Saccharomyces cerevisiae S288C: one gene and its partner. The protein of the gene in region 2 binds, or shares a complex with, the protein of the main gene of each other region. Each region holds a gene or a part of one and is shown on either strand. Other genes may lie near its edges. The genes, in order: KIN28 and CCL1. A codon is read from its position in the direction of its gene.

Region 1 (15,086 bases), on a different chromosome or scaffold from region 2:
TATTTCTCAGCCTTATCGTAAGTTTTGTTTTCGAAAAACAGGTCCCCTATTAATTTAACCGTTAAATGATGGTTACGCGCATACAGCTTCTTTATGAATTCATTAGCCGTTTCAATGTCTTTTTCATAACTGGATTTGACGTTTTCCTTTTTATATTCATGTATCACGTTGAAGCTTAGGATGGATATAGCATCGTTGTTGCCAAGTTCGGCAGCAATATTCAATAATTTATCCTCCATAGCTAATAAGTCTTTGTGGACGAATTTGTTCTGCGTCCTTAGAGTTATCAAGACGTTTCGCATCTGCATAATGTCTGAACTCCTTATATAGGGGTATTTCTTCCTCCATGGGATATTCTCTTCATTAGTATTTTGTGATACCTGCAGAAATATCGGGTACATTTCATGGTATGTAAGCCTTGTATCTAACTGGAATAAAATTTTGTTAACCGTACGTTTCTTCGGGAAAATCTCTTGAAACTTTTTGGGTACTGGTGGTGTGGAAACAAACTTACTGACAAACCTCTGCATATTTTAGATCAGATATTTCTTGCTTTTGTTTTCGTTTTCGTCTGCTACTGTTTGTCTCCCCTCATATTGTTGTTGTTAAAATCTAAAAACGAATTCCATAATGATGGAAAAGAGTTAAAATTCAACACCAAAAAACAAGACGCATCAAGAAGTTTATTTGTATATGTTGAGGATACATCTAATGTCAATAACACAGATTCTACAAATTTTATAAAATCATATCAGTTACGTATTTTTATTGAAGACGGGTCACTTGGTGGTGGTAATTCTTTGAAATAATCACTTTCTAAACACTGAACAGCGGTCCACCTCTTTTGTGGGTTCATCGTTAGCATTCCACACATAAAATCTAAGGCGTATTCGCTAGCAGCAATGAACCTTTTCCTCAATTCATCTCTTGAAGGGGGCGGATATATTTGTAACTTGTTATACGTCATAAAGGAAGAAACTTCGGGCCAATCTCTATCTGTAGGTGTCCCTAAGGCCCTGAACGTTACTTCCATTTGATCGACATCATTCTGTCCTGGTAAATAAGGTATCCTTAGCATTAATTCCGCGAATATAACGCCTACTGACCAGATATCAATAGCCGATGTGTAATGTTTAGCTCCAAACAACAATTCTGGCGCTCTATACCATCTTGTTACGACGTTACTTGTCAGTATCTCATGTGGGGCCGGTATCGCCCTTGCTAGACCGAAATCTGCTACTTTTATCTGGCCATCAGGTGAAAATAATAAATTGTTTGGTTTCAGATCCCTGTGCAAAATGAAATTTCTGTGGCAATGATACACGCCCCTCAAAGTCATAAGCATCCATGCCTTAATATCTGCTGGTGTAAACAGTATTGATTTGTCTTTTATTACCACCTCTAGATCAGTTGGTAGGAACTCCAGAACGAGATTTAAATTATCATAAGCCATAAATATGTCTATTAGTTCTATGACGTTCGGATGCTGCATTTCTTGGAGGTACTTAACTTCACGGATAGCTGACATATCTAAACCATCTTTAAATTCGGATGTTTTGATCTCCTTAATAGCAATCTTTCTTCCAGTAGAGTGTTGACAACCCAAGTAAACAACCGCATAAGTACCCTCACCAACTTTCTTTTCTGCGATGAATCATCATTAATCAACGTTAGTATCATTATTGAATGTTAAAAGAAAGACGACAATATATAACCCCCACATACCCTTTGTGTACTCCATATTCACTTTCATATGTTCGCTCTGAGGCCGGGAATATTTTTTTTGATGACTTTTAAGTAACTGTGATTTCACTTGTATTTTTTTTCAATGTGTTTTTTGAATCTACTTGTAATATTCTCTGCACAATGCTTCAAATGAAGCTTCACATCATAACACAAAAAAAATTGTAGGTTCATCCAATGGACGAATCTTTCTTAAGGCTTATGCTTGAAGACCATTTCTATATACCAAAAAATTACAAACTGGCAAGATTGATGTCTTATTGAAACTGAAAATCTTTCAAATTAGAGGGTGATTTTCAATTACAATTGACAACTAAGCCGACTTCCCCTGAAACCGCTTCTGAATTCTTACAAATTTCTCTTGGAGGATTTGTTCAAGGTAGTGTGGTATGTTTTTAGCGTATTAACAGCAAGCGTTGTGTCTGCAAACAAAGAGAAAAAATATCAGTACAAAAAATGCTCACCTGACCTTATTCACCCAAAAACATCGGGGAAACGGTAGTAATATGGAAGCTGGCAGGAGTGCTGATGAAGTGCTATACCACAATCAGTCGTCAGTAAAGTTAGGTGAGTTAGAAAGATACGTTATTACATATGAGCTATACCAGGGTGATAGTATTCCCGCTGATATCACACTGGATTCCCTATGGGTAAAGATCAAAAATACCACAAAGCTATCCTATAAACCAGCCTATCTATTGGGCCCATTTATCTTATATTGTGACGTGCGAGCAAAAGATTACGAAAGCTCGTATAAGATCATATGTTCGGCGGATAAACCAGTATTTCAATCAAACCTACAGGCACAACAAAAGTTTATTGCAGAGTTGTCCTTGCACCACATTAAGCCACGCTATGTATGGATAGTGGATATTGTCAGTCAAATACTATTTAATAAAGAAACTAAGGTAACTTTTGAGATAGTAGTCGGCAATTCAAAGGCCTCTTTGAAAAGAAAAATACGATGTAATGATTCATTGCCTGATAAAGCCTGCAATATTTTACACACAGGATTATCGGTGCATAGACTTACCACCGCAGATATATGGAAAGTACCACGACCCATAGACATGTCGCAAAAATCCCATTTAGTCATTCTCACGCATGGTTTTCAATCAAACGTTTCGGCAGATATGGAATACTTAATGGAAGAAATATACAAGGCTCAAATGAACAATCCAAATGAGCGACTAGTTATTAAGGGATATATGAAGAATGCTTGTGAGACTGAGAAGGGTATTAAGTTTTTGGGTGTTGGATTGGCAAACTACATCATCGACGAGTTATATGATGACTCTGTTGGGAAAATTTCATTTATTGGTCATTCCCTGGGTGGATTAACACAAACTTTTGCTATTTGTTACATAAAGACCAAATATCCATATTTCTTTAAGAAAGTGGAGCCAATCAATTTTATCTCACTGGCGTCACCATTGCTAGGCATTGCTACCAGCACGCCCAATTACGTAAAAATGTCATTGTCGATGGGTATCATTGGTACTACGGGGCAAGAACTGGGTCTTAAGGATGGAAATTATGGTGATAAGCCCCTACTTTACCTGCTATCCGAGGAATCCTTAATCAGTGTGCTTGCTCGATTCAAAAGAAGAACACTTTATGCTAATGCCGTCAACGACGGAATAGTTCCCTTGTACTCCTCTTCTTTACTTTTTTTGGACTACTCTCAATTACTTCAGAAACTGGGAGGTCAAACTACGGCACCTTGTGATCCTCTCTTCCAGCCTGAAGTAAGTCCTATTGGGGAACTTCCAAATCATAGCGATGTTGCTAATGATGATGATGGAATCAATGCATCGTCATGGAACACGTTTTGGAAGAGCAAGGAAAATAACTGCGACAAGAAATCTAAACGCTTGATGAATGCTTCCGTCATCAAATCTATGAAGTCTGTGCTTCTATCACCATGCCCCGACGCAAAGTTCTTCTCAGATCCCGATGCAAGGGTCGCAACAATCATACATGATAAGATCTACACAGAAAAGAATTTACCGCCTCCATCACCAACACTTTATGAAGGAACAGCAGCCAAGGAAGGCGAAACGAGGAAGACGAGAAAAGAGATGGAGGAAATCATAGCACGCCGCTGGCACAAGGGGATGCATTGGAGGAAAGTCGTGGTATTGCTGAAACCAGATGCCCACAATAACATCATCGTAAGAAGAAGGTTTTCCAACGCTTACGGCTGGCCGGTGGTTGACCACCTTGTTACCGCCCATTTCCAAAGAGATGACCCAATCGCCTCACCAATGCAAGATAAACAGTTTGCTGAGGAAGATATAAACATGGCAACCGGAGGGGTGGAACCAAACAAGTTCTACTCATGGCTCACCAAGATCGAGGATCCTAGTGTGTACCATGGTGGAATAGTCTCCACAGCTAGCCAGCTCGCCAGCTCCTGGATTAGCAAGCATTCCTCTGTGACAGATTGACTGTCTATCTTGACGTCATCCCGGGATTGACTTGCAATTTACTATTGTCCACACCTACGAAAGTCCATTTTACTTCGTAGTTCGATAAATGCGCTTACGGGTCTTTTTCGAGCGGGACAACTCTTCAGCTCCTCCCCTAAAACCGAGGCCGAATATCCCTTCTCCATATAAATAAGACACTTTTCACCAGGAAAACAATACTTCAGAAGCTTATTTCTCTTGACAAAAAGAGGGGTAAGATCTTTATAAAACATAAAGCAAATCAAAACATAATAACTACTACAAGTAACATAATGTGCTCAGCAGGCGGTATCAGAAGACCAATCCAGATCGAAGAATTTAAGACGGCGATAAGCGGCATGTCCGACATGGAGTTGGCACAGATTAAAACAGAAATTGAGAACAGTATCAATCATTTGCAGAGGTCTAACGCCCGCTTGGGTAAATACATAGCTAAGTTGGAGGGTGCTGACGACCGTCTTGAAGCTGACGACAGCGACGACTTGGAGAACATTGATTCGGGAGACCTGGCGCTGTACAAGGACTCTGTCAGGGAGAACGAAATTGTGCTAAACAATTACAATGAGAGAGTGGACGCATTGGAGCAAGAAACGGTATATAGAAAGACGGGCCATGGCAAGAGTAAGCACGAGGTAGAGGCAAAGGACAACACCAACAAGGGCCCTGACGTTGACATGGACAATTCAAATGTGGACGTCGTGACACCAAACAGCATATTCATTTAAGAGACGGGATTTAGTTTTACTGCGCATCATTTTCACGTCATACTCTTTGTCTCTCTGTTCTATCTCTTCGTATAAATATTTCAATAACTCCATTTGTCTATTCTATCTACCCGTTCTATCCTTACTACTAGATATCTTAAAGAAATAATAAAATAAGTAAATACAAAAAAAACTCGCTATTAATAATTTATCTCCGAAAGCCCTAGGGTGTGCTTTTCTTCCGTGCCCTAGTCTATTATTTTGAACCCTAGTTGGCGAAATTTTTTTCTAATATTCAGAAAAAAGAAACGTAGAGCTTATATGGTGAAGGAGTACAATGATACTAATAGTCTGTAGACGGCAAAAGGCATTCTTTTTGACTAGCACAACGACAGTTTGAGATTCTGTTGAAATAATCATTTATGTCTCTTTCGGTCGCCGAAAAGTCGTACCTATACGATTCACTAGCAAGCACGCCTTCAATTAGGCCCGATGGAAGACTACCTCATCAATTCAGACCTATAGAAATATTTACTGACTTCCTACCAAGTTCCAATGGATCGTCCAGAATTATAGCTAGTGATGGAAGTGAATGTATCGTGAGCATTAAGTCCAAAGTTGTGGATCATCATGTGGAGAATGAACTACTTCAGGTCGATGTAGATATCGCAGGCCAAAGAGATGACGCGCTGGTAGTAGAGACAATCACTTCTTTACTGAACAAGGTTTTGAAGTCTGGTAGCGGAGTAGATTCCTCAAAGTTGCAATTGACAAAAAAGTACAGCTTCAAAATATTTGTCGATGTTCTGGTCATTTCATCACATTCACACCCAGTTTCTTTAATATCCTTTGCTATTTATTCAGCGTTGAACTCCACATACCTACCGAAACTTATTTCAGCTTTTGACGACTTAGAGGTGGAAGAACTTCCTACGTTTCATGATTACGACATGGTTAAGCTTGACATTAATCCGCCTTTAGTGTTTATATTGGCCGTTGTAGGCAACAATATGCTATTGGACCCTGCAGCCAACGAAAGCGAAGTGGCCAATAATGGCCTAATCATTTCCTGGTCTAATGGTAAGATTACATCACCTATCAGATCAGTAGCATTGAATGATTCAAACGTTAAAAGCTTTAAACCTCATTTGTTGAAGCAAGGTCTTGCAATGGTGGAGAAATACGCCCCCGACGTAGTACGATCACTGGAGAATTTATAAAAATATAGTCACAATTAGATAAAAAGACAAATTAGTTTACATACTAAAAACTTCATGGTTAACAAAAGTGGGAATGAAACCTGATTCTTACATGTGTTGAACTGTATAGGAATGAACGATAACTGCGGTTGCCGTTTGAATATTCATTGATCTGATCACACCAAATTGTTGAATCTCTAAACATAAATCCAATTCGCTTAACAAAGTCCCCGGAATACCGAATGCTTCGGTTCCTAGCAAGATCAATGATTTTTTAGGGAATTGGAAATTGTTGTCTAGCTTCACTGATTTATCCGTTTGCTCTAGCCCAATTAATGTGTACCCTTCCTTCTTTTTCTCTTTCATGAAACTTGCAATCTCATCTAGGGCAACTTCCTCCATGGGCATCCATCTATCAGCAGTCACAGCAACATTTTTAAATTGAGGATGGTTTTTGACTTTGATGTCTTGTACAGTAAGCAGTCCCACACCTAAAACATCACATAACCTACAAATACCTCCCAGGTTTGGCGGCTTATCAACTAATGAAGATACCACAATCAATTCAGAACGTGTAACGACATCATTCGATTTTTTATTGTCCAGATCCAGAACGGTTTCCCAAGCTCCACTTTTTGTTTGCAGTGGAGAAGTGTCACAGGAGATGTTCGCGTTGTTAACAGATTCCGTATTGGTGTCTCTTTTATCAAGCCATAAGGACCTTTCATCGGTACCTATAGGAACAATATCTTTCTCCTGCAAATATTTTTCGAAAACAGACTCAGAAATGTACGGGCAATCATGGTCGGTAACTTTTTTGAGCACACCACCAAACATGTTCGTTAATTTCCTATCACCCTTCAGATCCCATATGTTGGCATCCCCGGCACGATATTGACCAAATATTTGAGTCTTTTTGGCATTGGAATATAAGTTCTCAATGATGTTTCTCAGTGTGTGATCCGATAGGTAGGCTTTGAATGTAGGCCATAATGAAATTATTAGAGAATTAGAAAAATGCCTTACCAGAGGTTTGTTTGAAGCTGCGTTAGGAACTAACGTGCAAATGAATCTGTCTAGTAACTGTGTAAATCCATATTTCTTTTCGTCGTTTCTTAAATCTTTCAACACCATAAAGCATATTTTTTCTGCGCTAACTACAAACACCGGTTTGCTATGATCCTCCAGCAATGAGAAGAGATAATCCTCAGCAAATTTTGGATTGCCAGTTTTATAATAATCAACAACCTTTGAGGAAATGAACCATTCTTTATATACTCTTACTAGTGGTGAACTTTCATCCTCGATACTCTTTAGAATTCTGATCATGCTAGTTTCGCTTAATTTTTTTTCATTGGTGGTTAGTAGTGATAATAATAACAATTGCCACTGCAACAACCTCTGTAACGCTTCGGCACCGTCGGTTCTCTTTATAGCATAAAGTGCGTTTGTTTTTTCAGTAACTTTTTCGATTAATCGAATTTTCAACTGATCATTTGCATATAAAATAGAATCAATAATAGATACTCTAGCCAATATTTCGTCGGGTCCGTACACCTTTTCATAAAGTTCATCGCCTTTTATGTAATAATTGTTCAGTTTGTGGTCAAATAGGCTGGAAATAACAGGTTTGAGCTTGTAAAGGTTGACATCCATTTGCGGCTGTTTGAAAACACCTACTATAATGTTAATCAACCACCAATAGTTGACATCTTCTCTTAACAATTTCCCATAAAACTTCATAAATACTCTGAGTTGTGATCCGAGAAGAGGGAGTAGGCTTCTTCTGGAATAACTCAATGATATAATCGTTTGTGCATGTTCCTCCAACTTCGAGGTCAAAGTATCGATATACTGATTTGATCCAAAGTACAGGATCACAGGATGAAATAATCCCTTAATTAGCATCAAATGCAGATCCCTTTCCTTCAAAACTAATCTTTCACTATTAATACATTCCCATATAAACGAAAATTTCTCAAAAATGAATTTCACTATGAAAATATCATCATCAGAAACAGATGTGGAGCAATGGATGTAGGAATCTATGATAAAGTACAATAATTTACAGACTGCCAGGTTCCCCAGATAATTCCCATTATCTTTGTTAATATTCTCGTCAACTAAGCGTAGTAGTATGTGAAGCTCATCATCATTTCCTTCAGAAGAGTCACGATTTAAGGCGTATGTTTTCAGGAAGGTATTTAAAAGTTCAAAGTAAGAAGAATAAGCGCTGTCCTTCACTTTAAAGCTCTCTCTTGAACACTGATTGGCAGACTTTTTAACCATTTCATATAGGCTCAGAAGGTCATTAAAATTTAGCTCGATTGTATCGAACCTACATTCATAAGTCTTCTGGTAAATTTCAGCAAAGAACTTGAATTTATCAAGCGAAAATTTTTCCATTACCGACTTAAATAAATTATTCACATTGATGGATTTCCATGTAGATATTGTAAAATTTGGGTAAGACAACAAAGCGGTTGCATTTTCATAGGTATAACCGTTCGAAGGTTCGCCTGAAAGTAGCTGAGTTAGAAAAGTAACTGCCTTTGAAGTGTAAACGGGTATATCTTGCTTCGACTTCGCAACTTCAATTAAAAAATCGGGAGTAATATCAATATCCTTGAAATCGAAGATGATAGATGCTAAGAGGTCAAAAATAGTATCCTTTCCGATGTTTGTCGTCAAGTTTTCTTTCGCTTGCAAATCGTCAAAGTGAGAAACGGCAAGATCCCTATAATCTTCAAAAAGAGGCTCAACATATTTGTATGTCCCTCCCTTTAACTTAATGTGTGAAACTAATGTAAACAATAATTCAGATGCGGAGACAGATGGATCAATGTACAGTAAGAACTTCAAGTAAATTGTTTGGATTGTAGTTTCGAGAACCTCTTCTTCGGCTGCAAAATCGTACAATTTCCTGATCAGACTCAAATGGTCAGAGTTGATTGTTTTCTGTTTGTTATTCTGGAAGAAAACTAAGATACCGTAGGACAAGTATATCCTAGAAGGGTCAAAAGAGGTCCCTTTTTCCACCAATAATTTCAAAATTTCAAATAATATATCTGATATGCCTTCTGTTGTTTGGGAAAGTAAGTTATTGACAAATAATGAAAGTTTTTCACCATGGGGACAACTGACACCTTTTACATCAAAATAATGAGCGGACATTGCAGCTGGAAGAAGAGTTTTTGTCAATAATGGCAAGTTTGAAGAGAATGCTGACATATTTGTAATCGAGAACATTAACGTCATCATGTATTTTCTGACACTCTCCATTGATGATTTCAATCCCGTAGAAAGCAAGATAAGGCCCCAACTATGGTGTAAATGCTCGTTATCAAAAATTTTTATTATATCTTGTTTGGCCGCTTGTATTTGATTCAATGATGTGTCCAGAGCAATCATTTCATATAAGGTGGTGAATTTCTTCCAGCTACCCAGCATCTCGATATTTGCTAGATCATTGCATTTATAAAATGTTGTTTGCAATGTTATACCATGAGATGACAGTTTTTGAATTGTTAATTTAAGAATTGAGAGTGCCAATTTTCTGTGTTCGTGCACATCATTATCCAGCTCTGTTTGAATGTGCCTCCAATAAGCATCGGTCTTTATATAAGTAATAAGTTCAGGAGACAACTCTGCTGCTAAAAGGAATCTTAGGAGAAAAGATAAACTGTTCTTTTGCTTCCAAGCTTGTTGGGAGCCTTCAGCGTACAATTGTTTGATAAATGTCCAAATGAGCTTATCAAAGTTACTATCGGTATTGCAGCATTTCGATAAATATTTGATATGCCATCTCATTAACTTGGAGCAGGAATCAGCAATCTCTTCCGAATTACAGCCTAACAATGGAACAATGATAAAATCTAGGCATTTGGACGATATACCATTCTTACATTCGTCAAATAAATATACAACTTCTAAGTAGTGAAGCAGGCTAAGGATATCTAAGTGCAGATTTTCATGCTTGATATTAGCGTTTTGTTCCTCAGCAAAAGAATCGAAAAATGGTTGTACAATCTTTTTTCCAAAGTTGTCATTGAAGAGATGTTTATAGTTTTCGCTAATGATGTCATTTAACCGGTAGCTCATCCACACCTGAAATTTATGCCATACACTGGGTAAACAACATAGTAATTGTGCAGAAGTTCTTAGCGCCTTGTTCATTTCAGCCCTCGAAGAGCGAAACATTTCCCTGGCTTCACCGTCTATACTAGCATACGCAATGACCTGCTCAGTAATTTTTTCAAAGATTGGTGTTTCAATGTTGCTGTCCGTCGTTATATCCAGTGGCGAAGTTTCAATCAACTCCAGCACCTCTTCTAAGCTGTCATTCTGAATCAAGTCTGATATAAGCTTTAGTTGCTCTTCGCGTGGTAAATATTTGCAGATGAGAGCACCTCCAACCATTTTGCTGGTAAAAAAAAGGTATAGAGTTTGTAACGTTCGTTAAACAATTCTTTTCACCGGATTTTAATAAGGCTTGGCTTATTTGCTTACTAGCAATTATATAGTTACAATAGTGCTGTTTCAATCTTGCTCATCGCCATGGTGAAACTTTTCGAAAAACACTTGAATTTTCATTCACGTGATCTACATTCCCTTACCCGACAACTCACCCATTGTGCCCCCTTTAAGATATGGCTATTGAGTAAGCCAATATTTATCGATTTACAGCAAGTCATCTCCAAAATGAAGAGATGACTAGCTCGAATACTGGTGGTGCAATTGAACATACCATCTAGAAAAGTTGTCTTCTACAGCACACAATGTCAGACTTAAATGATGTCCAAGAAAATGCTAAATTGAATTCGGAAACTCGGAATACAGGAAAGGCTGAACCACCTCATGGGACAACTGAGTATGTGGCAGAGGCAGAAATTTCTAAGAATGGAGTTGGATCGCCAAAAAAGAGCCCAAAAAAGGGTAAGGTTGGAAAGGGGGACAATAACAAAGTAGAAACTGAGTTAGTACACACAGCCCTGTTAGAAAAAGACAACCCATTCATGGAGGAGGGGCCAACAGGATTCACAAAATCAGCTTTATTAGAAATACCCGGTATGAGAAGCCATAACCTAAAGAACCCGAATGAAGATTACGAGGATGACTCTGAGGGATTATTGCCTTTAAACCAAGAATCGAATGCAGAAACATGTAGAACAAGTCTTAGTGGAAGTATTAACTCCATGAACGGAGAGACCTCTGCGTCAGAAGAACCTTCTGTAAGTAATAGAAAGAAGTCCGCTAGGATACACATACTTGAAGCGAAAAGAGTTTCCGAAGGTCAAGGAAGAGCCTACATCGCCTATGTTATTCAGTTTGAAAATTCTACCGTTCAGAGACGTTACAGCGATTTCGAGAGTTTGAGAAGTATCTTGATAAGATTGTTTCCTATGACGTTGATACCGCCGATTCCAGAAAAGCAGTCAATAAAGAATTATGGTAAGTCAATAACTGGTTCGAGTTCAAAGTATTTGCTGCCCTCAGAAGGTTCTGGTTCAGTAGATCTATCATTGTCTGTGATACATGCGTCGGTCAATAATAGTGATGAAAAGTTAATACGGCATAGGATAAGAATGCTCACTGAGTTCTTGAACAAACTTTTGACGAACGAAGAAATCACAAAAACATCTATAATTACCGATTTTTTGGATCCTAATAACCATAATTGGCATGAATTTGTTAACAGTTCGTCCACTTTTTCATCTTTACCGAAGAGCATCCTCCAGTGTAATCCACTAGATCCCACTAACACCACTAGAATTCATGCCATGTTACCAATACCGGGCTCCTCGTCACAGTTATTGTTGAATAAGGAGTCCAACGACAAAAAAATGGATAAGGAAAGAAGTAAGTCGTTTACTAATATTGAACAGGATTACAAGCAATATGAGAACTTGTTAGATAACGGGATTTATAAGTATAATAGACGAACCACGAAGACTTATCACGATTTGAAATCGGATTACAATGAAATCGGTGAGGTATTTGCACAGTTTGCCCATGAACAGGCTCAAGTTGGGGAATTGGCCGAACAGCTTTCTTACTTAAGCAATGCCTTTTCGGGGTCCTCGATTTCTTTAGAAAAATTAGTTGGAAGACTATACTACAATATAAATGAGCCTTTAAATGAATCTGTTCATATGGCAACTTCTGCAAGAGAATTGATCAAATACAGAAAATTGAAATACCTGCAAAATGAAATGATTAAAAAGTCTCTGAATTCCAAAAGAGCACAGTTGGAGAAGCTGGAAGCGCAAAACAATGAATATAAGGATGTTGACAAAATAATTGACAACGAAATGTCTAAAAGTCATACTATTAATCTGGAACGCCCTAATAATAATACAGGTAGCGGTGGGAAATCATATGGTGGCAAACTATTCAATGGATTTAACAAATTGGCATCAATGGTAAAAGATTCTGTGAAGTATCAAGAAACAGATCCGCATACCGCAAGTATCAATTTGAAGAAAGAAATTGAACAACTGTCTGAATCATTGGAAGTTACTGAGAATGATTTGGAGGTCATTTCAAAAGTCATCAAAAATGACCAGCTACCTAAATTTTCTAAAGAAAGGGAAGTAGATTTATCAGAAATTTTAAAGCATTATTCCAGATATATGAGAAATTATGCCCGTCAAAATTTAGAAATTTGGAAAGAAGTCAAAAGACATCAAGATTTTGCATAGTATTATGAGCATTTTTTTTTAGCGTTATAGCATACTTGATATATATATATATAAACAACGTGAAGATCAAATAACGTCAAATGTATTAAATAGACTAAAATATTATGCACTTCTCTTCGGATTTATTGCTCGCGGGCTGGTTGACGTTACATGGTCCATTCCACTGAAATGTTTTAAGAGATGCCTATATGGCCAACTCAAAGTTTTGAAAAAGGGAACTAGGTTCACATAATATGGGGCATTTAGTGTTTGCAGATGATTATGCTCCATCGCAGAGATTATCGCTAGTGCCAGTTGGGAAGGTATGATGTCAGGAGCCAATAACTTAGATGGTGTAGGGACATCAATAAACATATTAGTTTTGATTTTTCCCGGGCACACCAGTAGTGTTTTTATTCCAGTTTTATTACATTCCGTGGACAAACTTCTGAAATGCCTGCTCATACACTTGTGAAAACCAATCATTGCTCCTTTTGATGCACCATACGATGTCAGCCTTGCAGGAGTCAGTTCTCCGAGGACTGAAGCAATGTTAATTATAAAGCCTTCCCTATTGTCTATCATATCTTCTGCAAATGTACTGATGATTCGGTAAGCACCTATTAAGTTTATGTCGATCAATTGTTCTACCTCCTTGTTTGTCATATGTTCTAACTTTTTGATGTGAGCAACACCAGCATTATTTATAATTATATTAATGTTGCCATGATCTCTTTCAATAGCTTTTTTCAAATTTTTAATTTCATCTAGACTTGTTATGTCGCATTGATAGTAGAAAATGTTATTATATTCTACCTGAGCAAAAGTAGGAAATGATTGAATATCTGCCACAATAACTTTATTAATTCTTCTGGAAAGTTCCTTTGCAAGTTCAAATCCGAGTCCACTAGAACCACCGGTTATTAGTGCAGTTGCATTTTTAGAAAGGATGGAAGGGTTGTAGCTGGGCAGACTTAGGATGACTGATGGAAAATCCTTGAGGTGTTTTGTAGTTCCACTCGCTCTATTTATTTTATTCTTGCGTACCATAATTAATAATATTTCTTACCCATAAAACTATGTTAAATATGTCACTGAATCTCTATTGAGGTGTCCTTTTGATGATGCGGTTTCAGATATGAGAAATGTTCATTCAAGAAGTGTCACAAATTCTGTTCCTCTGCTGACGCCCGCTACATATTGACGTTCAAAAATATAGAAGAAAAAGGCAGTAAAGCGTTAACATAAGAAAACTAAAGAGCAAGTCTGATTTGGCACTACCACGCTTCCAACAGAAGTAATTGTTGCTTCAAATAAGTTCGCAGCATGTGGATTCAAGTCCACAGATGCGATATTTAGGAGCCCAATCAGATAATATTGATTCCGGGTTATCTCTTGTTTGTGTCGGCACAGGGGATTTAAATTGTGTAATGCTCAAGACAAGTTATTGATGAGAACAAGAGATGGTATATAAAACTGCTCTCTGAGGTATAGCTTTTGTTGAGGTAGGCATACAAGATTTCGGGAATGAGCACTATTAGTACCACAACGGCACCTGAGTTTATCAGAGTAAAGAGAAGAAGGGATGAGGATTCTGTGCAGGCATTATGTATGTGTTGTTATTCTACCGATATAACAAAAATGCGTTTGACTAACTAAGTTCATCTGGGACAATTCAGTAATTGATGAGGGGAAAAGAGTGAAGAAGCAGAAGTTCATATTTAAATTATCAAAGACTGTGAGCTCTGAAAGCTATCAATCCGAGCAAGAGTCTTCTACGCCACTCTTAAAACTGGCTCATGAAGATCATCGACATTTTGTATTGGAACAAAGAAAAAAAAGTCGTAGAGACTCAGATGATGAAAAATCACAACAGCGGCTTGCAGCAGAAGGAAGTACTGTAGATGACGATGGGTTACCGCCAGAGATCAATCAAATGGTGAATGACTATTTAAAGTTGAATAAAGGTGTAGAAAAGACAGAAAGAAAAAAACCAAGTAGGAAATATTTTACTGGGGATTCTGCAAAAATTGCATCACTACCCAGTTTAGATTACGTTTTTGACATCTACCATTTGGAGAAAATTCATGACGATGAGGTTGCTAGATATAACAACGAGAAAAATATAGGGTTTGTGAAAATTATTGAGCATATAGATTTGGCTCTTGATGAAGAAAGTGATCCCAATGAAGCCCGTTCAGACGATGAGGATTCTAATGACGAAAACTATTACCAAAATGATTATCCGGAGGATGAAGATGATGATAGATCTATTCTATTTGGTAGCGA
Region 2 (16,508 bases):
TTGGGTATTACTTTTCAATTGCCAGAAATGGATAAGGTCGACATCACCAAAAGGGAGTGTCAAGCCAGACTGGACGTGTGCATGGGGGGCAAAATTGCAGAAGAATTAATTTATGGTAAAGATAACACCACAAGTGGTTGTGGGTCTGACTTGCAAAGCGCCACCGGCACAGCAAGGGCTATGGTTACTCAATATGGTATGAGTGATGATGTAGGTCCCGTTAACTTGTCAGAAAATTGGGAATCTTGGTCTAATAAGATTCGCGATATTGCTGATAATGAAGTGATTGAACTTTTGAAGGACTCCGAGGAAAGAGCAAGAAGACTATTAACTAAGAAAAATGTTGAGCTACATAGACTTGCGCAAGGTCTTATTGAATATGAAACTCTAGATGCCCACGAAATCGAACAAGTTTGTAAAGGTGAAAAACTGGACAAACTGAAAACTTCCACCAATACAGTCGTAGAAGGACCAGACAGTGATGAACGTAAAGATATAGGCGATGATAAACCCAAAATTCCTACAATGTTAAATGCATGATTTTATTCTAAGAAGTTAAACGTATGAAGGAACCTACCTCAAGACCGAGAATGCTTTGTTCTTTTCTGGTCGGTTTCGCTTTTGCTTCATAACACCAGCAATGAAGCATGATCGCGGGAAACTTTCAGAATCTACATCTTCTCCTGGTCAGCTTGAAACTTCAGATTATTCGTAAGGAGAAATTATAATATTATTTCTGTGATAAGAAAAGAGGCATTAAGCTTGGGTATTTGCGACAAAATACTTCAGGATAACCGATGATCGCAAGTGGGTTATTAATTTCTTTCATCCCTTAACCAACCGTCGCTTTCCCCCAGTGACAAGCCTTAAAAAAGTCACACCATGGAACGGAGTATCGTTGATGATTAAACCAATCATTAATCTTTCATAAAAGTTAAGATAAAAGCACTTGTTGATATATATAGGTACATGTGTATCAATACGCCATACATTGTAAATAGAATATTCAATGGATAAACGTGTGTAGCAAAAATAATCACATTGTAGCGCTAGTTAGCAATTTACTCATTGTCACATTTTTTGCAGTATATATTCATGGCATGAAATAATATAAAATGGCGCCGGTCTATATACCTATGCATCTTAATCTATATATATATATAAAACAGAAACCTACGGTAACAGAGCTGTTTCATGTTTTTTGCTTTTTCTCAACGGTGGACGAAGTATCTTCTCCATTCAACTTCCTTTTTAATTTCTGAATCAGTGTTGATGGATTTTGACAATAATAGTTTTTTGCCGCAATTTTCTTGGCCTCTTCAGTACTCGGAGGTTTACAATCTTCAATAATACTTTTACACTCGCGTATTATGGTTAGTAACTTCGCGGAGTCTATCGAATATTCTTCGCTCTCTGTGGACTTCTCTTTGTTTTTCTCAGTTGTACTGGCATCATTTTGTGGTTCTTCTTTTTCGTTTCCCGGTACTGATTCCTGGCTACCTTCTCTGCTGGGAAATTTTGTTTCTAAATACCTTGTGACCAAGGCTTCATCCTCAATCAATAATGTTGCTAGTGTTATTTGGGGTGGAGTGTAGAAATATACGACATCGGTTAATAATGCGGCAGTTATTCTCTTCTTACACCTATCGTATATTTGGCCCATGTAATTTAAATCAACCTTACCATAAAGGACGTTCTGGATATCTAAGAAAAACCCATGAAGCGGTTTGTAAGGATGATGGTTCAACAGTGAAAATTTCAATGATTCTAACAACTTAAACTCGAATTTGAGAACACTATCTCTAGTAGATTTGGCCTTTTGAGCAAACGAGTCCACGCTAATAAAATAGTTCTCCGATTTGCAGGCTAGAAAGATAGTAGTATGTACAATACTTTTAGGATCTATTTGCATAACAGAATTTTCTAAGAAAAAACGCCTAAAAAAGGATATCGCAGTGGCCACTACTTCGGTTGGCAAATTTAGATGCTGTGCTATTACCTGAACTTTTTTTGCGTAGAAATTCACCAAATCGAGTTCTTCTTCCATTGTCAAAGGGATAGCCTTTGCTTCTAGTACTTTTATTTCTTCTTCTGTTAAATTGTGTGCTTCTCTAAATTTTAATAAATTTTCCTCAATGTAAGCAATCGCTCGGGCATTGGTATCTACCCTTTTCTCCTGAAGTTGATCTTTAGTGTATGACCACATTCTATACTGAGAAGAGTGCCTATATAAATCATCGTCAGAAATTCTTTTGTAGTTCGGTGGCTTGTTATTCTCATCAGCCGATTTTAATTTTGCCTCTTTTTCTTTTGCTGACATGGTAGCAGAAGGAGTATCTAATGTACTCTTTCCATTTAGTTGAATATCCGTCATTCTATCAATATCTGTGCAGCACAGTATTTTCCTCTCTTAAACTTAATATTCACTCATTTGTTTGAGATCTTTCTTAATATAAAAACTGTGTTAAGATCAAATTTATTACCCGGATTGTGAACGGCTTAAACAACGAAGGGATACCGCAGGAAATGAGAGGCCCTTTCTTCTCTGGATGGCAAACAGTTCGTGCTATCAAAGTCTGTACCAAGGTTATTTCACTCTTCAAGCCAGCAATAACTACTTTCTTTCAGGTCACCTCTCAGCCGTCACGTCTCTAGCTGAAGCTTTGTTATTCTCGCTTCACTAAAAACAAGTGTATCTACAATATTTACCAGTCTATTCGTATATCCCTTATCATTCTTTTTCAATAAGGGCAAATACTTCGGAAAAAGAAAGGAACATTCATCTTGATTCTAGCCGTAAAGCTATCACGTTCACTCTAAGCAAGCGGAAAGTTGAGCAAAATCAACGAACAATCTGAGTCAGCAAGGCAGTACAAGCATCTCTTCTTTGCCCCTCAAAATTTATTTCCTTTTTGGTATAGTCTTACTTCCAAGTCCAAGCAAGCACTACGTATCACGACAAACCAACAGCCGCGCCGTTTTTATATTCGGAAAGAGAATTCTTGTCGTTATTGAATAATAATAACAAAATTTCTCCACTTTTCACCATATTACCACTCCCTTTTTTTCAAGTAAAAAAAAAAAAAAAAAGAATCTTATTGCTCCTTAAAAAAGGATTCATCAGTCCTTTATGAGAGCCTGCTAGTATCACCTAATATTGCATCTGTTTTTACCGAAATTTCCTCATTCCAATAATGAAAAGAATAAGATCGCTTTGGTTCAATGCGGAGGCTTCTTATTCAAACCTTAACAATTCTCCTAGTTTGAGGAACAAAAATAGTACCGGTAATAACTCTCGCTCTAAAAATTATCGTTCTTTCTCAAGGTTTGACTTGATCAACTCTATACTTTTACTGATGATGCTATTTTTATTAGCTATCTTCGTCACTGCATTATATTTAACAAAGAGTTCCAGGCTTACATACTCACATGCCTCGAGGGCTGCCCTATTTAACCCTCTGGGTGTGATATCGCCGTCATTGGGAAATCATACGTTGAACTACGATCCAGAAGCAAGGGAATCTTCTAAAAAACTTTATGAACTCCTTTCTGATTTCAACACGGCATATTATGATGATGAGAACATGATTTTGGGAAGTAACTTGTTCTCAAAGAATACATACTCGAGACAACCATATGTTGCTAACGGTTATATAGGTAGTCGTATTCCCAATATTGGGTTCGGCTATGCCTTAGACACCCTGAATTTTTACACAGACGCACCAGGCGCTTTGAATAACGGTTGGCCCTTAAGAAATCATAGATTTGCCGGTGCGTTTGTATCGGACTTTTATTGTCTACAACCAAAACTAAATTCAACAAACTTCCCAGAATTGGATGATGTAGGATATTCCACTGTCATTTCATCTATTCCACAATGGACCAATCTACAGTTCTCATTAGTGAATGATTCTAAGTGGTTCAATCCACAAAATGTTACGTTGGATGACGTAACTAATTATAGCCAAAACTTATCAATGAAGGATGGTATCGTAACTACGGAGTTAGATTGGCTAAACAGTCAAATACATGTTAAAAGTGAAATCTGGGCACATCGGCACATTCATCCACTGGGAGTGGTTTCTTTGGAAATTTCCCTGAATACGGACCATTTACCTTCGGATTTTGATTCATTAGATGTTAATATATGGGATATACTTGATTTCAACACATCACATAGGACTGTTCTACATAGCACGGGAACAGACGAAAAAAATAATGCGGTTTTCATGATTGTTCAGCCAGATAACGTTCCATCTTCTAATTGCGCTATTTACTCAACGTGTACTGTAAAGTATGAAAATTCCACCAATCCAATAAATTCTAGTGAATCTTTTGAAGAAAAAGATGTTTCTTCTAATATTTATAATGTTATTTTGACAGAGGACCAACCCAAGATAATCGTTCATAAGTATGTTGGTATTATGTCTACTGAGTTCAATAAGAACAAAGAACAACAAGACAATACTAATATTGGTTTGGCCAAAATGATAGCTCTAAACAGTAAAGGCAATTACGAGAAGCTTCTGTCAAGTCACAAACGTGCGTGGTATGACCTTTACAACGACGCCTTCATTGAAATTCCTTCTGACAGTCTTTTAGAAATGACAGCAAGATCGTCCCTATTCCATTTACTAGCAAATACAAGAGATTACAATGTCTCGAGCGATAGGGGTCTTCCCGTGGGAGTTTCTGGTTTGTCATCAGATTCCTATGGTGGTATGGTGTTCTGGGACGCAGATATATGGATGGAACCTGCCCTATTGCCTTTCTTCCCAAATGTGGCTCAAAATATGAATAATTACAGAAATGCTACACATTCGCAGGCAAAGTTAAATGCAGAGAAATATGGATACCCCGGAGCAATATACCCCTGGACATCTGGTAAGTACGCTAATTGTACTTCTACGGGACCTTGTGTCGATTACGAATACCATATTAACGTTGATGTCGCTATGGCCTCCTTTTCCATATACTTGAATGGACACGAAGGGATTGATGACGAGTATCTGAGATATACTACATGGCCAATTATCAAAAACGCAGCCCAATTTTTTACTGCTTATGTTAAGTACAATTCTTCCCTAGGATTGTATGAAACATATAATTTGACAGATCCCGACGAGTTTGCTAATCACATCAATAACGGGGCTTTCACGAATGCTGGCATTAAAACACTTCTAAAGTGGGCAACAGACATTGGCAATCATCTCGGCGAGGTCGTTGACCCCAAATGGAGTGAAATTTCCAAAGATATTTATATCCCTAGATCCTCATCTAACATCACTTTGGAATATTCTGGTATGAATAGCTCAGTGGAGATTAAACAGGCGGATGTGACTTTAATGGTTTACCCACTTGGATATATCAATGATGAATCCATATTGAACAATGCAATTAAAGATCTTTATTATTATTCAGAAAGACAGTCTGCGTCTGGGCCTGCAATGACATATCCGGTTTTTGTGGCCGCAGCTGCTGGTCTGCTGAATCACGGCTCTTCTTCTCAAAGTTACTTATATAAATCGGTTCTTCCATACTTACGGGCTCCTTTCGCTCAATTTAGTGAGCAATCAGACGACAACTTTTTAACAAACGGATTAACCCAGCCAGCATTCCCCTTTTTAACAGCTAACGGTGGATTTCTACAGAGCATTCTGTTTGGGTTAACAGGAATCCGATATTCTTATGAGGTTGATCCAGATACTAAAAAAATTAACCGTTTGTTAAGGTTCAATCCAATAGAACTACCGTTGCTCCCTGGTGGTATCGCTATTAGAAACTTCAAATATATGAACCAAGTTTTAGATATAATAATTGACGACCACAATGGTACGATTGTTCATAAATCAGGAGATGTTCCTATTCATATAAAGATACCAAACAGATCTCTAATACATGACCAGGATATCAACTTCTATAATGGTTCCGAAAACGAAAGAAAACCAAATCTAGAGCGTAGAGACGTCGACCGTGTTGGTGATCCAATGAGGATGGATAGGTATGGTACCTATTATCTTTTAAAACCGAAACAAGAGCTTACAGTCCAACTGTTCAAGCCTGGCTTAAACGCAAGAAACAACATAGCGGAAAATAAGCAAATAACAAACTTGACGGCCGGCGTTCCTGGTGACGTTGCATTCTCTGCTCTAGATGGGAATAATTACACGCATTGGCAACCCTTAGACAAAATTCACCGTGCGAAGCTATTGATTGATTTAGGTGAATACAACGAGAAAGAGATTACCAAGGGAATGATTCTTTGGGGGCAGAGGCCCGCAAAAAACATTTCCATATCTATTTTGCCTCATTCTGAAAAAGTCGAAAATTTATTTGCGAACGTGACAGAAATTATGCAAAATTCGGGAAATGATCAACTTCTTAATGAAACCATTGGTCAGCTTTTAGATAATGCCGGAATTCCTGTCGAGAACGTTATTGATTTTGATGGCATAGAACAAGAGGATGATGAATCTTTGGATGATGTGCAAGCCTTATTGCACTGGAAGAAGGAAGACTTAGCCAAGCTAATTGAACAAATACCCAGACTTAACTTTCTAAAAAGAAAATTTGTGAAAATTCTGGATAACGTGCCAGTGAGCCCAAGTGAGCCATACTACGAAGCAAGTCGCAACCAGTCGTTAATCGAGATATTACCCAGTAATAGAACGACTTTCACTATTGATTATGATAAATTGCAGGTGGGTGATAAAGGGAACACAGATTGGAGGAAAACAAGATACATAGTTGTGGCAGTACAAGGAGTGTATGATGATTATGATGATGATAACAAAGGAGCTACAATCAAGGAAATTGTTCTCAATGATTAAATGAAATGATGCATATAAGTAGCGCTTTTTTTAATATTATAAGTTTGGATAAAAGTTACCAATTTTTTCGTAGGATATATATTTTAAAGGCACTATATTGAAAATATCATGCATGCTTATATAAAAGCTTTTTTTTTTCTATAGGGTGACATTTAGGAGCAATAATTTTTACTACAAGCTTTTTTTGCACCTTATATAGTAGTGACCTTGAAATTGGTCTTTTGCACCAGCGTACTTTAATTCCACTAAGTACTGTTTAGCAGCCTGTTTTCCAGAGCCCACAACAGTTTTCTATAAAATTTTCACATGCATTATATAGACATGATCTACCTACCAATTTGATCTTCCTGCCATTGAGATCAGTTCTTTCATTACATTGATTGCACATTTTTAATTGGCGCCTTTTCTAATTTTTTGTATGAGTCCATATTAAAAAAATAGACTTCAAATTCCTACTAGACGATTCTGATTCCATCGGGATTACCACCAGATTTGATATTGGCTCTTCTCTCGTCAGTAGGGTTTGAACAGAAATATTCCTAAATTTCTCGCAACTTAAATTAAATTTGCAACGATAATGTTTGCATACATTTTTATATTCTAGATTCAATACATTAGAGGTAACTTGATGTAGCGCCAATCTGAAAATACAGAAGCCTACTAGGCAAATATTTAAAGCTCTATATACTATTCACGAAAGAAAAACGTACTTTGTATAAATTGAAGAAAATGAGTTTGTGTTAGTTGGGTCCTGCCATTTGGTATCCTGAAGGTTTTCTCAAGGTGGGGTGGGCTAATCTACAGGAATAGTTTATAGTAATTGTGTGTTAAGAAGTATTTTGGCTTTAAATGACGTCCCCCACAAATTTATTACTTCAGGTGTATAATGTATTCACAAATATGTTCGTTTCTTTTTTGCTCTTCATCGTCCCCAGTTTTTCCTCACCCTTACAAAACAAAAACGGCAGGAAAAGGGTCCTATGTAAATTAAGCAAACACTGCGGGGTAGAACCTAAATTTTAATGTATTTTTTTACAATCCAACCAAGATTAAACCAATTGCCGAGCTTTTTCCTTTCTCGGTGAAACAAACCTTTACAAAAGATACGCCAGAGTAAACGCATTCCTACAAAAAATGAAAGATCTTCATTATTTACACTCTTGTAGCCCACTAATCAATTGGTTTCGCAACATTGTTCAAAGGCAGTGGTTTCTTTTTCCCTGAGTATCCTACTATAGTACAAAAAAAAAAAAAAAGAGTGAAAAAATCAGAAGAGAAAATTATATCGATTATAAATTTTTCAAGTACATCGTCTATCGAAGCTAAAGACTTGAATAATTAAATTTCTGGAAATGGGACAAGTGTACTTATCAACAACGAATAAGGTATAGCAAAGTTTAGAGAATTATTTTAATTATCCCTATAAAATGAAACCGATATTTGAGATTTGTTTGGGCCTTTTTCTCTCCCATGAGCAGTGAAGCCTACAGCAGAACCGTCCCAATTTTCGTCGGTGATTTTTTCTGAAATTTGATAAAGCTGAGACTTAAAATTACCTGATATTTTTCTAATGTTTGATATTTTCTGGAAAACGCCATTAGCAATTCCTTGGCTGTTTTCGTTTAAATTGCCCTGTATGTCCGATAATTTATAATTTGTGAACTCATTTGAAGCGCCTTTTGTATAACAAATCTGCTGGGCCAAGCCTGGGAAAGGCAGAGCCGTCTTCTCGCCAAGTTTGAGAATCAAACAGTTTTGGTTTAGTTCACTTCCTGAAGTATTCATATTTACTCCTAAGTATAGGTCGAGAGGTTCAAATGTTGTTTTGATTTTTTCATTCACATAATTTGAAGGTAGCTCGACGTATTTTGGTTTAATTAGGTCATATAACCTTTGCGGTTCATTGATACCATCATTTTCGAGCTTGTTGATAAGCTCGATGATTAATGAAAACATTAAGATTACAACTCCTAGCCCACAGGATATCATATTGGCCGGATTTTCACCTACAGAAAAACATGATACCATAGTTTGAATTACTTGAAGTGTTAGTTTAGTGTCATCCAGTTTCTTTTCACTAACAGATTTTGTAGCGGCAGGTGCAGGTGCAGTAGAAGTTGATGTCACCGTTTCATATACAGTTTTGATGATTGTAACAGTATCTATCATGTCATCATCATGGAATGCAAAAAGAAGACCCAGGAGTGGGACGAACGAAGCAAGTATTCTGTAAATACCAACCATTTCTTTTTATCTGGCGCTTTATATGTTTATGAATAGTACGTTATGATGATTGTTTTTTTACAAATGTTTGTGAATTACACTAATGGTAATTCCCTCTTTAGTTAGAAGTAATGGAAAATTAGTACTTTCTAATTCTTGTGATCAACGCTTTTTCAACGTTGCCATCATCAACAGAATCTCGATCTGCTAGCCAACATCAAAAAGTTGTTTGCCGCACATCATGTAACCGAACTTTCAGTACCACAAAAACTAATATGCACGGCGCTTGAAAAGTGCTTTAATTTTGTAAACTATTTTGTTTTGTAAATTTCTAGGCAGTTGAGGCTACCGTCGTGACCACAGAAAGAAAACATCTTCAAAACACTTTAGTGACTGTCCATATAGCCGCCGAAGTTAGTCGCTGATATAATTTGAAACCTACATTATTATTTGTTCGTTTGGAAGACACGTTAGGTTTAGTATCAATAAACTTCCCATCCGAAACACTTATTCTACTAGTGTGTTTCATAATGCGTAAGCCAGCACGTATATATTCATCTCAATTTGTTACACACTTAACATACTATATAATTCCTGAGAAAATGCCCAGCTCATAAACATCGGTAGTCCAATTCAAGAACGGGGGAACTGAATTTGGGAGTAATCAAAAAAAAAAAAAGACGTTACTTCATCGTTTTTGTTGTCATTGTACACTTCTTTCATTTCTTTTCAGATTTAACTTCTCTGTCCGTAGTCGGCAAATAACGGTCCTTTAAATGCAAGGGATCATCAAGAGATTTTGAAAAACTGTGGAGCCAGATATTTATTTGTCAACTTTGGACATCTACCTTAGTCTGTCTGCTTCCCTCTTTTTGACCTCTTTTAGTAAACTCTGAGGTGGGATGACTGACTCTGACGGAGAAAGTATGTAGATATCTCAAGAAAGTATCAGTCCACGATATAGTAGGAAATATTATACAATACGTAATGGAAGCAAAGTGTGCTTCCATGAGTTTTAGACAAATTTATGTCCCTAAAACTTCGAACTTTTAACGGGAACAATTTTGGCCGTGATAAATTCTTTTCCAACGCTTATATTGATTATCCGTTATTGGTTTTTTGTTGGAGACATTAAAAGATGGCCAATGGCGTAAGAAAATTTTGAAAAAAAGTCAGACATTCAAGTTGAAAAACTCCTTCATCTTCCTACTTGAGTCTATATTTTCATTGATATTTCCATAAGAGAAGGAGCAGTCAAGTTCAAGAACCAACTTTCCGCAGTTGGCAGGTCGAAAAAATAAATGCGAATTCTGTGGATCGAACACAGGACCTCCAGATAACTTGACCGAAGTTTTTTCTTCAGTCTGGCGCTCTCCCAACTGAGCTAAATCCGCATATCAGAATGAAATAAACAAGCATTCTTGTGCTTTATAAATGGTCCAAGCGTCTAACTTTTAAAGAGTACATTCTAAAAGTAAGAGACGAAGACAACATTATAATAATTTTCTCAAGACATATATGTTTCACCGGCACGTTTTGTTTTGTCCCCTTTTATTTTGAGCCTGAATACTATGCTTTATAAAACTTTAATGCGCTCAACAAGTGCACCTTCCAACGGAAAAAAAGAAATTCAACAGGGAGCGATGCCATCATCACATGCACGTTTTCAAGTATTTATAAGACTTGCTACTTGCTCGTCCATTCATGACTTTAATGAGGTTCTAATTTATTGGTGCAACTCTTCAAACTAGCTGCCCAATCAGTGCTGGAATGAGTGCCAAGACAAGCGACAAACCCTGTCAATCTCCTGAAAAACAAAAATTAAGTGCTTGAGAAGACCTTCAGAAGAGTTGCATAGATAGGATGGGTGAGCGCAATTACTAGTTACGCAGTAAGTAGGTTATATGGCTGCTGGAGGGGCAGTACTGATTTAATCACAATCCGGATTAAACTTCCTCCTGAAAAAAAAAAAACTACATCAAGTCAAAAGATTTTCATTCACTCTTTGGAAGGCTGTGTGGCATTCTAACCTTTATTTTTTTATCACCATTCTCGAATTTTCGTGGTTCGCTTTCTTAGCGCCGTTATTCTCTCTTCTTGTCCACGTCAAAGGGAGTATGCGTAACCCCTTTCAAGGTTGAACGAAAAAAAAAAAAATATGTCCTTCAAAATTTTTTTTGATTTAAAACTAAAAAACATTCCCTTGAAGCTTGTTATTCCGAAAGAAAGAATCTAAAATTGCAATTGGTAGTGAAAACAAATAAACAAAGACATAACCGCACTCCAATCATGTCCGAATATGCATCTAGTATTCACTCTCAAATGAAACAATTCGATACCGTATGTAAGATGGTTTTATTGGTTCCATCGTCATCATGGTTCAAACAGCCAAATGACCCGACACACGTAACCGAAGCAGTTATACTAACAAGAAAGCTAATTTTCACCCTCCTTGCTACATTTTTTTCTACAGAAGTACTCTGGTAATAGAATTTTACAGCAATTAGAAAATAAAACTAATTTGCCTAAATCTTATTTAGTTGCTGGTTTAGGTTTCGCTTATCTCCTTTTGATTTTTATTAACGTCGGAGGTGTAGGTGAAATTCTTTCCAATTTTGCTGGGTTTGTGTTGCCAGCATATTTATCGTTGGTTGCTTTGAAGACACCAACGTCCACCGATGACACACAACTCTTGACCTACTGGATTGTCTTTTCATTTTTGAGTGTCATTGAATTCTGGTCCAAGGCAATTCTATATTTGATTCCATTCTACTGGTTTTTGAAAACCGTTTTCTTAATCTACATTGCCTTGCCTCAAACTGGTGGCGCTAGAATGATCTATCAAAAGATCGTAGCCCCATTGACCGACAGATATATCCTAAGAGATGTTAGCAAGACAGAAAAGGATGAAATTAGAGCTTCCGTCAATGAGGCTTCTAAGGCTACAGGTGCTTCTGTTCATTAAGAGGCAACTCACCTATATCCTCAAATCAAACTCTCGTTTTTGTTCTCTTTGTTATCTATTCTATTGAGAGCATATAAGTACATATGTTATTAGTTGTTATATATCGCTACTTAACATATAAAATATTTTGGAGTCGTTTATGGTGTCCCAGAAGATAGCATTTCTATTCATCGTGTTGTGTCGTGACGTGTCTCTTGATATGCGCGACAGACCATCCAACGCAAGGTCATTAATCATGTTATGTTCTGTAATTTTAAAGGCATTTTTTATAGAGTTTCATCGAATTTGTGATCGAACTGTTCATTGGTGATAGATGAAGAGCCATTTAAATGAAAATCCAACTTAACTCTTAACTTCAGTTTCCCAGATCCAGAAATTTTCAATGACTGCTTGCAAATTTGGCTGGCGTTTATTGTGGAAGATGGATATAACTGGCCTAGTGTTAGCTTTTGAGCTTTAGGAACGGCACAGAAAGTTTTTAAGTCAGATATTAAAGACTTTGCCTGAAAATATAAATCCAAATGTGCTAATCCAGAGTTTGCAGAGAGCAAGGAAGCATATACATTCAGTGAGGAACTGTCATATATCTTGTTGGCATCCAATGGTAAGGTGACACCTGAGTTTGCCTCCACTGCCGACGAATGATTGATTGATTCTTCCTTGTTCGCATTTTTGGGCACCTGAGCAATGTCATTCTTCTCTCCAAAAATCTCTTCTAATATGTCAATTGGTTTCACATTGTCACCAGTAGAAGCCTTGCTTTCAGCCTTGCTATCCTCACCCAATAAATCTGACAGCAGATCAACTGGTTCGTTGGAGATAAGGTTTTTCGATAGAGCTTTTCCATTATCCTGTTCCTCGGTAATTTTTTCAAATTTAGGCATTGTTTCTAAAATGATCTTCTTCACAGAAATTGACTGATTGAAAAATATCTCGTATTGATTGCTTTTCATTTGCAGTGATAAATCAGTGGAATCCGTGTAGCTCAATATCAGTTGTCTTAGTTTTTCAATATTTTTCGCGTCATGGAACCTCACAGATAATTTTAATGCTGCTGTTAAAATGTAATTGATTATCTTCAGATTCGTTGCTGTGTAGAGTTCTTGCAAAGTTAGTAAGTAATCAGTAATAGATGACTCATTGATTATGTCTGCACCATTTTTATTGCCCTCGTTGAGTACTAAATCGCCATATTCGCCAATGCACCAAATCAAAACCAACTGCCAACCAATATTTTCCTCGGAAATCTCCGCTGATGTTCCATTTAGTGAAATTGTCAGCATTTTCCGTAAAAATTCAGATTTGTCGGATAACTGGCTCGTATTATTTATTATGATTAGAATATCATTAATTTTTTCATAGTTGATAAACGATCCCACTAATTTTAAGATATTAAAGAAAACATCTAATTTCCAGCTTTCATCTTTGACAACGCGGGTATCAAAAGTGTCAATTAAGTGATCTATAGTGTATATTATGAGATCTTTTGAATCTTCATCCTGTTTTGCCAAAAATTTCATCAATTCGTTAACCAATTCCACTAAATTTGAATCGTCCAAGATGGCGAAGCTCAACTCTAACGCTCTCATGCGGATCGACACATCGGTATCCTGCAGACAATGAGAAATGAATTTTCTATGCCTTTGTACTGCGGTAGGCTCTTGGGGAACAACTTTTAATAAGGTGTTTAATGAAACGTATTTAGTATTATTATCTTTTCCTGCAAGAAACTTGGCCAAGATGTTAATACCAAGGACACGTAGAGGCTGGTTCAAATCCAACGAAAAGATCGTCTTCACGGTCTCATAAAGAATGGCCTGTCCGCTGTTTTTCGTTGAATCCGTATTCGTCGCAATACGAGTCAATAAATCGCAGAAATTATCTTTGTAGTCCAAAACATTGTTCGAATTTAAGAGCTCACCAACTTGAAAGTATAGTTTTAAAGTGTAAATTATTTCACACTGCAGAAATGGGTCACAAATACCTTGGACATCATATCCAGGTTCAATATTTTTAGAATTCATATTTTCCAAACGAATGAAAAAATCACGCAAAAGTAAAGATAATGGAGACAAGATGTCATTGCTGTAATCAATACCGTCTTCATCTTCATCCTCATCTTTTTTTCTGTTCAATCCAATTAACAAAATAGATTGTATGATTTTCGTAACGCCTAAAAGTACACCGTGAGTACATATTGAATGACTAGACAATATCTTAGTAATGTCTTCGATGTTGAAGATTTCTAAAAGTGAAACGTCTTTGAAAATTAGTTTGGCAGCACATTGAAGCGCTTTTTTCAAGAGGAAAGGGTCTCTTGAATTTTTGATGATATTTTCGACGTCTGGGTATAAATCTCTGGCTAATTCAGGGGAGCTCAAAAAGCCTAATGAGGTTAGTGCAAGTGACACTGCATATTTGTTGGGATGATGCAAATCGTTGTTCAACATGTTCGTTAAGAGTGTCAATAAATCTTCAGATTCGTCCAACAATAAAGTTGCGGCCAGATAGCCTAATCTTTTATCGACAAAATCGTCAGAAGCAATTAAATTGATAGACTCCACCTGACCGAAATGTGTCTTTTCCCCTAGAATGTATAGATACAGAAGTTTCTGGATATTTACTCGCCTTTTTTCATGTGGTAGATGGTCATCTCTCAATTTTGTCCTAATTTTAGCAGATTGTTTCGTTATAATTGCCCTTTCATCTGCCAGTGTTTTGGCACCACGAACGTCTTTGATAAAGCTTCTCAACGAAGAGCCCATTATGGTGTTCAGGTCTTTCTCGTTGCTAAATCAAGATGGTCAATATTTCTTCTCCAATATTAGCAGTATAAAATCTCGAAAAAGTATGATTTAGTTGTAATTCTCATATGGCCAAGCCCACTAAATTCAGTGAATACAAACAGCTAAGGACGTCAAAACTCAGAGTCGGGTAATCTTCATTTGAATTTTTTTTCTCTTAAGGTAGATAACACCAAAGAAAAGCAATCAGTAGCAAAATATGGACTTTAACGCTGTCAGTTCCAATTGAGAAATATCGTAAAGAAAGTTAGTTGTTTTCACTCGCAACCTCTCTACCTTCGTGGCCTAAAATAGATTTAAATAATCGAATAAACGGTTTGTTCTTATATGTGATACCCTCTTTCACCACCTTCCTGTAGCCCCAGTTGGTATTACTTGTCCCAACCTCATTCCTCTTTCCATTATCAATTAATCGGTTTGTGTTGTTCGTAGCAGGACCACACTTCCGGAATTATATACATTTACATGTATATAGAGAAGAAAGCTTCGGCGGCTAAAGAATAGAACCATCTATTACCCGCTCGCCCGGTCGTTTGGATGCGTGGGTGGTATAGTTTCTTTTTTTTCATTTTAAGGGATACCGCTCCCCACGTACCCCACGACCAGCCCTAGTGGAATAAGAAATGCAAAATCCGGGGTTGGCGCAGCGATTCTGCACGGCCAAACCCTGGGCTTCTTTATTTTGTAGATCTGCCAAATGATGGCTATGCCTTACTCGGTATCACATGGAAAAGACCCCCGGCTTATTGAATCCCGTCTCCCGTTCCCTGCATAGTTGTCACGGTTTGGACTATATATATCGTCGTTTCTCTGTTTTATTTATTATGATGGCTCTCCAAGGGTAATCAGTCAGACTAGTAAGCAAAGTCAATCATGCAATCTACTGTCCCAATAGCAATTGCGAGCAACGGCAACAAGAGAGATGTCGTCCAGAACGTTTCTGCAGGCGACGAGGGTGATATATTGCAAAGGCTAGCCCGTAACAGAGAGATGATTTCTACCTCCCTCTCGCCACAAAAATCGTCAGGATTTAGTGGTAGAAGGAGGTCATCTAGTGTTAGGGACGCCCTTTCTTCTTTTTTTGGAACTGGTAATAGTCCAACATCTAGTATGGACGATTATTCCAATTTGATGAACCGTAACTATTCTACCGCATCAACTGCCATGTGTAGGGGGAACAGTTTTCCTTCAGATGTTGGCACTAAGGCTTACAATATTACGGGATCTTACCAACCGGATAGGCACAGGAATTCTGTTCCGTATACCACCATAGACCAGTTACACACAAGGCAAGACACCGGGTTGAGGAGAGAGTCAGATCCAGTCGCGGCAAAACAAATATCTAGTAATAATGATATTGTTAGGTCATTCATAACACATCATGCTAGTAATAGCACTATGTTTATTAATAGGGTGCTATCGGACTATTTAGCGGATCGTGGTTTCATCAAGCAAACACCGTTATATAATAAGAAAAGTGTGCTGGAAATTTCCATTGCAACAAGTGCAGAATCAGTTTTCTTGCCAACTACAAAAAGTGATGAAACAGAGTATCTATCACTGATTCATGGTTCTTTAAATCAGGCGCGAACACAGCCTGTCGGGTCCACTAACACTGCAGAAAGTGATTTCCTCCCTTCATGTCCTACGATGGACACTTTGAATGAAAACAATGATTTATCACTA

Evidence for each region.
Region 1: the proteins of CCL1 (region 2) and KIN28 are in contact, whole or in part, in a cryo-EM structure (PDB 6XI8), measured with the Saccharomyces cerevisiae proteins. Residues at the interface, in NP_015350.1 of Saccharomyces cerevisiae: His51 (codon at 2,224), Ser52 (codon at 2,221), Ser53 (codon at 2,218), Arg56 (codon at 2,209), Phe168 (codon at 1,873), Leu169 (codon at 1,870), Lys172 (codon at 1,861), Ser173 (codon at 1,858), Glu174 (codon at 1,855), Asn175 (codon at 1,852), Val180 (codon at 1,837), Arg191 (codon at 1,804), Leu195 (codon at 1,792), Glu198 (codon at 1,783), Phe199 (codon at 1,780), Leu202 (codon at 1,771), Glu203 (codon at 1,768), Phe207 (codon at 1,756), Leu209 (codon at 1,750), Leu210 (codon at 1,747), His212 (codon at 1,741); in NP_010175.1 of Saccharomyces cerevisiae: Thr40 (codon at 1,555), Lys44 (codon at 1,543), Asp45 (codon at 1,540), Gly46 (codon at 1,537), Leu47 (codon at 1,534), Met49 (codon at 1,528), Ile52 (codon at 1,519), Arg53 (codon at 1,516), Lys56 (codon at 1,507), Tyr57 (codon at 1,504), Gln59 (codon at 1,498), Glu60 (codon at 1,495), Gln62 (codon at 1,489), Ile72 (codon at 1,459), Met74 (codon at 1,453), Asp77 (codon at 1,444), Arg152 (codon at 1,219), Glu159 (codon at 1,198), Thr162 (codon at 1,189).

The regions. Positions count from the first base shown.
Region 1 is NC_001136.10:254,365-269,450, reverse strand, and holds KIN28 (TFIIH complex serine/threonine-protein kinase subunit KIN28), read right to left. Parts: upstream 1,754-15,086; coding exon 1,726-1,753; intron 1,645-1,725; coding exon 752-1,644; downstream 1-751. Other genes in the region: MSS2 (Mss2p), read right to left, coding at 1-530; YDL109C (putative lipase), read left to right, coding at 2,250-4,193; TMA17 (Tma17p), read left to right, coding at 4,487-4,939; exosome non-catalytic core subunit RRP42, read left to right, coding at 5,341-6,138; TRM3 (tRNA (guanosine(18)-2'-O)-methyltransferase), read right to left, coding at 6,226-10,536; ATG20 (Atg20p), read left to right, coding at 10,896-12,818; YDL114W (short-chain dehydrogenase/reductase), read right to left, coding at 12,921-13,847; IWR1 (Iwr1p), read left to right, coding at 14,325-14,406, 14,477-15,086. UniProt on the Saccharomyces cerevisiae protein: Catalytic component of the TFIIK complex (KIN28-CCL1 dimer) which is the protein kinase component of transcription factor IIH (TFIIH) and phosphorylates the C-terminal domain of RNA polymerase II during transition from transcription to elongation after preinitiation complex (PIC) formation, thereby positively regulating transcription.
Region 2 is NC_001148.4:612,185-628,692, forward strand, and holds CCL1 (TFIIH complex kinase subunit CCL1), read right to left. Parts: upstream 2,375-16,508; coding exon 1,193-2,374; downstream 1-1,192. Other genes in the region: i-AAA protease YME1, read left to right, coding at 1-540; alpha,alpha-trehalase ATH1, read left to right, coding at 3,195-6,830; YPR027C (uncharacterized protein), read right to left, coding at 8,241-9,074; YOP1 (Yop1p), read left to right, coding at 11,343-11,393, 11,527-12,018; APL4 (AP-1 complex subunit gamma), read right to left, coding at 12,285-14,783; CSR2 (Csr2p), read left to right, coding at 15,696-16,508. UniProt on the Saccharomyces cerevisiae protein: Regulatory component of the TFIIK complex (KIN28-CCL1 dimer) which is the protein kinase component of transcription factor IIH (TFIIH) and phosphorylates the C-terminal domain of RNA polymerase II during transition from transcription to elongation after preinitiation complex (PIC) formation, thereby positively regulating transcription.